3 linked regions of the Astyanax mexicanus genome follow. The protein of the gene in region 1 purifies or fractionates together with the protein of each later gene. This does not show direct contact. Links are inferred from orthologs where the notes say so. Each region holds a gene or a part of one and is shown on either strand. Other genes may lie near its edges. The genes, in order: map3k14a, cad and timm13.

What was found.
Region 2: the proteins of map3k14a (region 1) and cad purify together in Homo sapiens (affinity purification with mass spectrometry; 3 studies listed by BioGRID and IntAct, with this or other methods). This does not show direct contact. The link is inferred for Astyanax mexicanus from reciprocal best matches to the Homo sapiens genes MAP3K14 and CAD.
Region 3: the proteins of map3k14a (region 1) and timm13 purify together in Homo sapiens (affinity purification with mass spectrometry; 3 studies listed by BioGRID and IntAct, with this or other methods). This does not show direct contact. The link is inferred for Astyanax mexicanus from reciprocal best matches to the Homo sapiens genes MAP3K14 and TIMM13.

The regions. Positions count from the first base shown.
Region 1 is NC_064426.1:23,748,177-23,751,932, reverse strand, and holds the start of map3k14a (mitogen-activated protein kinase kinase kinase 14), read right to left. Parts: upstream 2,354-3,756; 5' UTR 2,228-2,353; intron 1-2,227.
Region 2 is NC_064408.1:56,415,829-56,419,584, forward strand, and holds the start of cad (CAD protein), read left to right. Parts: upstream 1-1,194; 5' UTR 1,195-1,525; coding exon 1,526-1,619; intron 1,620-2,300; coding exon 2,301-2,440; intron 2,441-2,524; coding exon 2,525-2,654; intron 2,655-3,063; coding exon 3,064-3,206; intron 3,207-3,756. UniProt on the Homo sapiens protein: Multifunctional protein that encodes the first 3 enzymatic activities of the de novo pyrimidine pathway: carbamoylphosphate synthetase (CPSase; EC 6.3.5.5), aspartate transcarbamylase (ATCase; EC 2.1.3.2) and dihydroorotase (DHOase; EC 3.5.2.3).
Region 3 is NC_064423.1:26,851,079-26,854,834, forward strand, and holds the start of timm13 (mitochondrial import inner membrane translocase subunit Tim13), read right to left. Parts: upstream 3,022-3,756; 5' UTR 2,880-3,021; coding exon 2,760-2,879; intron 1,458-2,759; coding exon 1,389-1,457; intron 676-1,388; coding exon 577-675; 3' UTR 1-576. UniProt on the Homo sapiens protein: Mitochondrial intermembrane chaperone that participates in the import and insertion of some multi-pass transmembrane proteins into the mitochondrial inner membrane.

The sequences.
Region 1 (3,756 bases):
TTTCTTTTAAATTTAGATGTGAAATAACAGTATTTCTTTATTCAGTATTGATTTATTTGTTTATATTTCAGATATTCAGTGTTGAACATTTTAGTGTGGGAATTTTCTGGCTGCTCAGGCAACATCTACTAAACACAACATACACACACTCACACCAAGGACACCTGCTTACACAGAGAAGCTAAAAATACAACATGGATACAAAGCTATATTCAGTTTACAATGTGGACTATGTCCATGCCAGTCATTATGCCAGCTACCTTTCAGGTTTTGCGTTCATAAAACAGCATCATATCCCATGTTATTAGTGCTCTATTATTGAGTCATTAGTGCAGTATAAATACAATTAAATTTATTCTGATAATAAAATAAATATTCCTAGCATCTCTGATGATAATCACGAACAAAAAAACATTCAAAAACTAATACGCTAAATGTGTTGCCTATATTAATCATATTTACATTAGTTTAGAAGCTGCTGCATATATCTGGTGTACTTTAATATGGTTTTATTTTTAAAATACAATTTTTGGTCATTTTTGTTAAGCTACTTCTGCACCCATATTGAAAAGAAGATGCTGAAAAGATATAGTGTACAAGTGAATCTCCAAAGAATTAGAATAGTATTGAAAAAATACTTTATTTCAGTAATTCAGTTAAAAAAATAAGCATTTATTTCTTTTATTGTTGATGATTATGGCTTACAGCCAATGAAAACCCAAAAATCAGTGTCTCCGTAAATTAATACATTATATAAGACCAACAGGGACTTTTGGCAGTTTGGGCAGTGTGCCAAGTCCTGCTGGAAAATGAAATCCGCATCTCTATAAAAGTTGTCAGCAGAGGGAAGCATGAAGTGTTGTAAAAATTTTCCCGGGAAAACACTGCACTGGCTTTGGACTTGATATAACACAGTGGACCAACACCAGAAGATGACATGACTTCTTAAACTTCAAGCAGTTTGGACTGTGTGTCTCTCCACTCTTCCTCCAGACTCTGGTCCCTTGATTTTCAAATTAAATTAAATTTACTGATGGTTAGTGATGGTTTGGAGAGCCATGCCATCTCCTGTTGTTGGCCCACTGTGTTATATAAGTCAGTGCAGTGTTTTCCCGGAAAAACTTACAGTTCTTCATGCATCCGTCTGCTGACAACTTATATGGAGATGTGGATTTTATTTTCCAGAAGGACCTGGCACACTGACCACACTGCCAAAAGTAACAACTGGTCTTATGTAATATTCAAATTTTCTGAGATACTGATTTTTGGGTTTTCCTTAGCTGTAAGCCATATAAGCCATAATCATCAGCAATAAAAGAAATAAACACTTAAAATAGATCACTCTGTGTGTAATACATCTATGTAACATATAAGTTTCAGGTTCTAACTTTTCAATGATACTCAATTTTTTTAGATGCACCTGCATAATAAATGTTGGGACCCAACATTGTTAATCTGTTTCAAACTAAAGTTAAAGAGTTGTTGAGTTGTTCAGAGTTGGTAGGGGAGGTGTAATTGTGTTGTAATCCAGGTAAGAGAGCAGGTGTGATGCTGCTCACCTTTCATGAACATCATTAGCAGGCAGGTCTTAAGGAGCCTGCAGTGAATTAGCGTTAGAGTTAACAGTTCAGGAAATGATGTCTTTCAAATGAAGGCCAAACGTTACACCCATAATTTGAACCAGGACAGCTAACCTATCTAAACATGTTTAACCCATAAACTACAGAACATATTCTTTAAATGCTATTTAATAAAACAGAACATTTAAACACCTAAACACAGTCGGTTACCTAGTTAGCTAGCTAATATTTCTGAGGTAAATGTATGCTAAGCTAACTACCTTAATTAGCAGTTAACGTTAACTGTTTTTGCACAACTTGGCTTCCTAATAAAGTAAAGCATTTCCTACAAAAACTCGCTAACCTAATAAAGCTAGGAAGCAAAAATGGTCAAAAAATATAAGTTTAAGACTCGGTTAAACAGCCAACCGTCCATAAAACTAACTTCAGCGCTGAAACAGAGGTTTACAGCCGAGTTCAGTCGAGGAGGGCTGAGCTAGCGATACAGCTGCTTCCACTTCCTCCTTCTTTAATCCGCCATTTCACTTATTAAACAAAACAGCTTTTCTCTCTGAAATAAACTCGAATAAAGTGGATTCCTCCGTCACCTCCAGCTCAGCGAACAGACACTGTACACACAATGAGTAGTGAAAGTGAAGTAAACTCACCGGTTAATGTGTGAGAAGTGAAGAAAACGCAGGCGAATGTCTCGTATGTGTGTCGTTGTGCTTGCGGTCTGAGAGCTGCTGCTGCCTCTGCTCGAGGTTCCTCCTCCTCCAGATACTCAGCAGAGCTTCAGCTCTGGGCTCTCTGACTGATATCAAAACCAGTATATAGACACTTTATCAATATAGAGCAGAGAAGTTAATAATTGTGACACTGTATTGGTCTTTACAAAATGCTAAATGCCTCTTCTGTATCAAAGAAATGCAGCAAAAAATGTATAACAACTGTTCAGTTCCTTCTGGCACATTTAGCTCATCATAGACTTTAAGTGTTTACATCCTGTGCATTATGGTGTTACACTGTATATACAGCTCTGGGAAAAAATAGAGAACACTTAAAAATGACGAGTTTCTTTGATTTTTACCAAATTGAAAACCTCTGGAATATAAATAAGAGCAAGATGGGTGATCACAAGCCCTCAAACCAAGCTGAACTGCTTTTGCATTATGTGTGGAATGAAGTTATTCAAAAGCAGTGTGTAAGACTGGTGGAGGAGAACATGCCAAGATGTGTGAAAACTGTGATTAAAAAACAGGGTTCTTCCACAATATATTGATTTCTGAACTCTTTATGAGATTTATTTACATTATTTGAGGTCTGAAAATTTTGCATCTTGTTTTGTTATTTCCGTCATTTCTCATTTTCTGCAAATAAATGCTCAAAATGACAATTTTTTTATTTGGGGGAAATGTTGTCCGTAGTTTATAGAATAAGACAACAATATTCATTTTACTCAAACATGTACTTATAAATAGCAAAATCAGATAAACTGATCTGTCTCTTATTTTTTCCATATACAGTGGATTTCAAATGTATTCATTCTTCTTTTAAGTTTTTCTCATTTTTTACCTTACAACCACACACTTAAATCTATTTTATTAATTTTAATTGTTAGAATTAAAATTATGCTTTCCAAATTTTATTCATATACAAATCTAAAAAAGTGTCACGTGGAAATAAAATCTACTGCAATTAATTGCCCTCAGAAGTCAATTTGTCAAATAGAGTCCAGTTGTGTGTAATTTAGCCTTGTAATTTAGAACGTGTTCTGTTCTGACCTCAGAGGTTTGTTAGGCTTACAAGCCTCATTCCACATTCACAAATATAAGTGACCTGTATCTGTGTGTAATGTAAACGAATCTGTCCCTGAAACGCCTCACATGTGCACATTGATACGTGTATAAATGTCGCCTTCCTCACCAACAACAAGAAAAACCTTTAAGAGACATATGTGAGAGACAACCCATTACTTAACTTTTTTAAGGCAACCGGTTTCCTCCATTTTTTTTATAATAAATTCAACTTATCTGGGCTTACAGTGTACCAAGAAATGGTCATCCACCCAAACTGACAGATGAAGTAATTATATATAAAGTAATTATATAATATATTTATATACAATATCATATCGCCTACCCCTAAACAAAAACTATATGTACACAAATGTTCTACCTCTTTCCATTTCTAATTT
Region 2 (3,756 bases), on another chromosome or scaffold:
TCAGAAGTAGTCACAATAGAATGTAAACCTTTTAATACTATCATTTGACAATTCTTACATGGTTTAATTACGGTTCTGTATACTCAACTAAAATTAAACAAACCAATGGTTACTACCCACCAATGACAGTATTACTATCAACAGTAAAACAGAAAAAGAAACCCTGAAAGCCCTCTGTTGAACTGCAGGTCAAATGACAGTAAGACTTGCAAAATGGGCTACAAGTGATTATTTGATAAAATATATACTCAGTTGAAACTTTGTCACAAAATCAGAATGAAATACTTTATGAAATATTTTTTAAAAAGGTTTTTTAAAAACAGTTACAAATTGAACAAAAAATGAGTGTAACCTTTATATTTTTAGATTGTTTTTAACAAAACAATTATTATAAAAAAATATTGTCAGGAACTCCTGAAGTCTTGTCATTTGTGACCAGCTAAAAACACTAAAGTACACTACACTTTCATATAATGAAGCATAAAGCATTTGCCCCGCCCATCTTCATTCGCCTTTTTGCTGTGTCGAGTAGTTTGTAGACGGTCCCTTAGCTCTCGTGCAGGTCGCGGCAGCCCATAGACGACAATGTGTTCTGTGGTTTTCTAAAGGCAGATGTTTGAGAGGGGAAAGACGTTGTAGCTGCTTGCTTTGGATGTCAGCATATAAAATAAGCAAGTATTAACCATTTTGCACACACAGTTCAAAAGCTATTGAAGAAAGAAATCCGAATATGCGAATATGAAACCAACTTTACCGGAGTCAAGAAGCACATGCTCAGAAAAAAAAAATAACATCATTAACACAAAGCTAAAATTGTATTTTGTACTCCTGTTGTGAAATGAACACTCATTACACTCATTGTGTACAACTATTGTTGTCTTTGTCTAAAGGTTTATGGGCATTTTAAACCCGTGGACGCGTATCTGTGGATTTTTTTTTCATAATCCTAAACCAAACCAAACCAAATGTATGAGTGGACTGTTCTATTGGTGAATAAAAACAGTTGCTTCTGCAGTGCTTTTTCGCACAGCTGTGTACTGAGTGTTGAAACCAGTAGATATTGTTGTGTTGTTATCTGAAGATACTGTGTTGAAACAGAAAAGAATCAGCTCTTTCCTGAATGAAAAATCACTACCGGGCCTGTCTTTCTTCGCCCCTCCCCCGGGGCGGAGTGTCGCGGAGCTGGGCTCTAGATTTAAGGCGCTGCGCTGGGGCGGCGGGTTTCCACGCTGCTGTGGCTCCGGACAGGGCGGTGTGGACTCGGGCTGCTGCTTCACGTTATTCTTTACAGACATCGGGAAAGGAGAACAGTTTCGTAAGACTCTACTCGTCCACAGTCGTGACCTCCTCCTCCTCCTGTGTGCTGAAAGCGCTCCGCCGCACACATACCGATTATCACGTGGGTCTATCGTCTCCACGAAAGAGGAGAAAAGTCGACGCCGTGGCAGTTAAAAAAACTCTGCTCCACCACCAGAGTACCCCATCTGCTGAGCGCTCTGTGTCCAGGCTTTAACTAGCTGTAAATATGTCGGCGAAAATGGCATCTTTGGTCCTAGAAGACGGAACCACGTTTAAAGGCCGCCTGTTCGGGGCCAGTGCCTCGGTATCTGGTGAAGTTGGTAAGTCGCTGGTTGCTTGGCGGAACACCGTGTTTACAGAGGGGCCTGATAGCCGGATTTACTCCGGTCGTGGCCCCTTGTCACACTAAAACGGCTGTAGTGTGAGGATAGAAGCAGCAGCAGCGATGCTAACTGCGTAGCTAGCCTGAGGGCTCTTACTGAGCTCCACGTGTCCTTCCTTCGCGCCGGATTGTTGAAAGACGAGCAGACGCGCTCATCCGCTGAGCTACAGCCTGTCCCCATACCTAGAGACCAGAGAAATAACCAGCACTCTTACATCTGTAGATCAGAGTAGATGATCTTGCAACATACATGATGAGTAAATCCAGTATTTCCACGCTTTATTTATCAGTTTATATAGCTAAACAGCTGACCAGCCTGAACTCGCGACTCTTTAGATGTTTGTGGCAGGTCCAGTGTGGTTATAAAATAAGTCCAGCTGTTTCTGTTTACAGTGTTTTCCACTCTGGTTATATTGTAAGAAACTAAGTCCAGTGTAAAGGTGTTCTAGCTAAGGTACGAAACGTTTTATAAGAATGCGCACAGACCTAATGTCCGTCCCATTTAATTTTAAATTCACTTATGACGCTTTCTATTAAAACATCTGTTGAGTAAGCAGGAATGCATGTAGGACAAAAAGTGTGATCATCTTTAACATTAACTGTCTTTACACCTTTTCAGTTTTCCAGACAGGAATGGTTGGCTATCCAGAAGCACTTACTGACCCTTCATATAAATCTCAGATATTGACTTTAACCTACCCACTAATCGGGAACTATGGTGTGCCCAGTGACGAGGATGGTGAATTTGGCATCAGCAAGGTGAATAATAATTTGCATATTTTTAAATTATGGCAAATTGCTTGTCAAATAGCAATTTAACTCTTTCAACATTTTTCTCTGTAGTGGTTTGAGTCTTCTAGGATCCACGCCACTGCGCTTATTGTTGGTGAACTTTCTCAGAATCCCAGTCATTGGAGTTCAGTCAAATCTCTAGATCAGTGGCTCAAAGAGCAAGGCATCCCAGGACTAGAGGGTAAGATAATAAGTTTTCTTGAAGAACATACATGCATCCCTTTACCCTGACACTCTGCGCCTTTTAGTAACTGTACTATATTAAACCCAGATCAGTATTAAGCAACATGGTTTGAATGTTGAATTTCTAATAACATTAATATTTACATGTATAAAGTTAGAGAAGCTAATTTACATAACAGAACTCTACTCTGCTATTCAGTTATCTATTGAATTGAATCAATAAATTTGGACTGCTCCTGACTTTTCCTCTAAAAGCAGGTTATACTCATAATATAGCTTTAATTTATTCTGCAATAGTGGATTTCTATGTATTGTGATGTTAAGTGGAGTAAGCAGGTCTGGCCCCTCTGCTTTTTTTATAACCTGCTTGCCATGTTCTACATGCTGTTGATGTTTTTGCAAAATAGGAGTTGACACCCGTTGTTTGACTAAGAAGATCAGAGAAAAGGGAACCATGCTTGGAAAACTTGTGGTTGAAGGGACACCTGCGGAGAACATCCTGTTTGACAATCCTGACAGTCGGAACTTGGTGAAAGAAGTGTCCGTAAAAGTATGGATTGACAAATAATATTTGCAGTATACCCTTTTCATAAATTATCAGCATTGATTTGTTTTCCCTCCCTTTTACCACAGTACATTTCAAACTTGAGTATTTTACTTTATACTACACTACATTATAGAATGTCATTACATTTTGTGAAAATACAGAATGCCAAAACAAAAGAATCATGAAGCAAGTGACCCAATTCAGGGTGCAGCATAGTTTTGCCTTTTTGGACATAGCTGCCTATACGGATTAACATTTTATAAAACAGTTTGAACATTTGGAAATACATGTTCCTACATTAAATCATTTAATATATGGGCTGTATATAGAAAGTATAGTAAGGAATCTATGTGACCCAAAGCCAGTTGATCCCTAAAAAGTAGTATAGTAATAAAGTAGCAAATAAATCTTAATAGACATCCGTGTCTGACTGATCATGACATTCTATTAAATTATTGCTGTCTTTGCAACTAAAAAAGTTGATTAAGGAGGAGTCTTGTTACATTATGATCATAGGACATAAGGGCTATAATAAATCATGATTTATTTACTT
Region 3 (3,756 bases), on another chromosome or scaffold:
TGCCAAGTTGTAAGAAGACAGGTCATGTGCATTTAAAAAATAAAACATATTACATTTTAATGAAATCAGGATAGACTGAATGCAATTTGTTCTATCTGTTCAATGTTCTATAAAGCTTGTCCAACAGTTGGAAACAGCTGCTACACAACACTCTTCAGTGCAGACATGGCTAGGACAATACACTGCCTTACTGAACCAAAAGGCAGTAACTGTGACAACAGTTTAACTGAGACAAATATAGTTCTGACGTAGCAGAGGTGTCACAAGATGAACCTGATCCTCAAACATCTGACTTAATACTAACTCAATTTTAACCAAACCTGAAATGATTATTCTGCCTCTGTACAGCAATATAATAATCAAATACCTTCCATGAGTGTAACTGTCCACCCACATTCAACATGCCTAAGGGGGGGAAAAAGGAAATAACTTGGGTCTAAAAGTCAGAATCTCCCGATTCCTTGGATGGTTCTCCAGTTCTGGGTGTTACAGGGGCGGGGCTGATCCACTGGTACCCCAAGCCTCTATACCCAGGGATTCAGGTTAACACTGAGGTCCAACTGGATGGATTCTGCATTACATTCGCGCCCTTTCCCTCTGAAGTCTAGAGTTATAGGCGCGAGAGACTGTGTTCCATGCATCCATATACCGGTCCATGCACATGGCGATGCATTTCTGCAAAAAAAAACAAAATAACAATTTTAGAAACTCAGAAACCGTCTGTAAATAAATTGAAAAAGAGGGTGGGATACACTAGTAAGCAAGGGAATAGTCAGTTCTTAAACTTAAGGCAAGTATGAGGGTCTGAGTCAGCATAAAAAAGCCTAATCTGACTGATAGATGAATGGGTCAGAGCATCTCAAAAACATCAGGCAGGTCTATTGGGGGAACCCAGGATGCAATTGTCAGTACCTACCAAAAGGTGCTCCAAAGAAGGTTAGTGAACCGTGAAACGGTGAACTGGTGACAGGGATATGGGCGCTAAAGGCTCACTGATGCTCATGAAGGCCCACTTCACAACTTACAGGACTGCTGTTAATGTCTTGGTGGCAGATACCACAGGACACCTTCAGAGGTCTTATGGAGTCCATGCCTTGACTGGTCAGAGCTGGTTTGGTGGCATGACAATATTACAAAAAATGTTTTAAATGCTATGGCTGATTTATATATATAAAAAAAAAAACAGCTTTTGTCAATGACCGTGAAAGTGCATAATATGACTGCATTTATTATAATTAGAAATCATAAAAGTAGAAAAATAAAATTGTCTTTTTCCCAATAAAACAAAAATGCAAAATCTGTTGTGTCATGGTGAACCTTGCAGGAATAAATGTATCATATATGCATGTACACATACACAAGTAAAAAAGAGAAAAACTGATTCCTACCTGTTCTGAATTGTCCAGTGTGCTTCCAGGCTTGCCAATGCACTTCTTGAAGCACTTATCTGTCATTCTCTGAGAAAATAATACATAACAAATCGATACCTTGGTTGGGTCTACAATCAAATACAAGTGTGCCAATATCAGACTGAGGACACCTTTAAACCAAAGTTAGTTATCCAGTTATTTCCCCAAAAGGGCTGGTGTCACTGAAGGTTTTTATTCCAGCCAAGCAGAAACACAGCATGTCTGTCATCTGTTTAAAGACAGGCCCAATTAATAACAAATAGAATCAGGTCTACAGCTATTTTTTAGAATGAAAACCTGAAAACCAACCCTTTGTGGGTAAGAAGTGATGATACTTCTACTGCACTCCAAATATATATAGGACTGAAGTAAAATAAATCAGATATAATTCATCTCTAGTAGCTATAATGGGAAACGAGAAATTAGATTTATTTTTTTTGGCTAAAAGCAGCAGAATATAATATTGTTTACGATATTCAAATATTATGGAGATATTATTATATATGTTACGATATGGCACACCCCTAGTTAGTGTATTCCTTTACAAATAAAATTTACCGCTTAAGAGTTTCTATGATTTGCCCAAATTGAAAACCTCTGGAACATAATCAAGTGGAATATGGATGATCATAACCATCAAACCAAGCTGAACTGCTTGAATTTTTGCACCAGGGGTGGCATAAAGTTATTCAAAAGCAGTGTGTAAGACTGGTGGAGGAAAACATGACAAGATGCATGAAAACTGTGTTAAAAAACAGGGTTTTCCGCCAAATATTGATTTCTGAACTCTTAAAACTTTATGAATATAAACTTTTCTTTTCATTATTTGAGGTCAGAAAGCTCTGCATATTTTGTTATTTCAGCCACTTCTCATTTTATGCAAAAAAAATGCTCTTAATGACAATATTTTTATTTGGAATTGGGGAGAAATGTCTGTAGTTTATAGAATAAAGCAACAATGTTTATTTTACTCAAACATCTACCTATAAATAGCAAAATCAGAGAAACTGATTCAGAAAATGAAGTGGTCTCTTAATTCTTTTTCCAGAGCTGTATACTACATTACTGTACTGTTTCAATGAGTTTTGAATGTCCCCTTTAACTGCTGGATTATTTAGAGCACAGCAGCTCAGGAGAAACAGAGGTTTCAGTAATGAATGACTATGAATGACTCATTACTCTTTGATTAATATGTTTGTTTCCCAATTGGCTGTTTGGTTCCACCTTATCTGATGCAGTTGTTTTGTGGGTAACTAGCTGTATTTAATCTGTAATGTGGAGATTGTAATGAGCAGCTAGGCTAGGCTAGTGCTGGGTTATTTAGCCTGAGCGTGTGATCTGTGCTGTTACCTGCAGGAGCTCCTGAGCGTTCGCCACCGCTATCTGCACCTTCACCTGCTCCATTATAGTGCCCGTGTCCATTTTCCCGGACCCCGCCGCGGAGGAGTAATCTGAACCGAAGCTGTCCATATTTCTGTGTTTATTAATAAACCCTAATTCGCTAAAACTGCCCTGTATCCGGCTTTACTCCCTCCGTGAGGCTCTCACATGGACTGTTTCCCCTAATGCCCTTCAGATGCACCGGAGGAACTGCTTACACTGCTTCCGCAGACAGAGGGTTTATGGGAAATGAAGTTTCTTTCTTTCTTTTTTGCAGCAGCAGACTGGGTCACTTTCTTATAAGGACGAATTATTAAGTCACAGATTCAGCTAAAACATTATTTTAAATGCTCCTTCTTTAAGGTAACACTGGGATTTAGTATGTAATGTAATGTAAGAATAATGGAAGAGGAGTAACGAGGCGATTTTAACAGATAACTTTGTGAAAATGTGAGGAGTAGGTGTACAGATAATTGTGTGAAGAATTATTACTCCAGTAAAGTATAGCTAACCAATATTTATTCTTAGGTAAGGTAAGCATTTGTACTTAGTTACTTGACACCTCTGTCTAAAATGTAGAAAGTAATAAAAATAAAGAAAAAAAACATTAACTAAGAAGGGAGATCTGGTACTGTATCTGACTGTATTCATGACAAAATGTACTCATGCATTAACCATTAAAATGCACAAATTATTAATGAAATTTTTATTAAAGCATAACTTTTTGACATACAAGTTTTTGTTCAGACGACAATATATTAGCTACGTGTTTTTTGTTCTACGCGTAAAAACTGGAACAAATCTTCCACAGGAAACACTTACAATACATGCTGCACACATCATTACAAGGTATGACAAAGAAATAGGGAGAAAAAATAAACCTTTGAACATTTGATTAATACATACATACCTGGCATACATATTGTTTTCAGGCTTGTTTATGAGTTCTGAGTTTAAGGGAATTAAA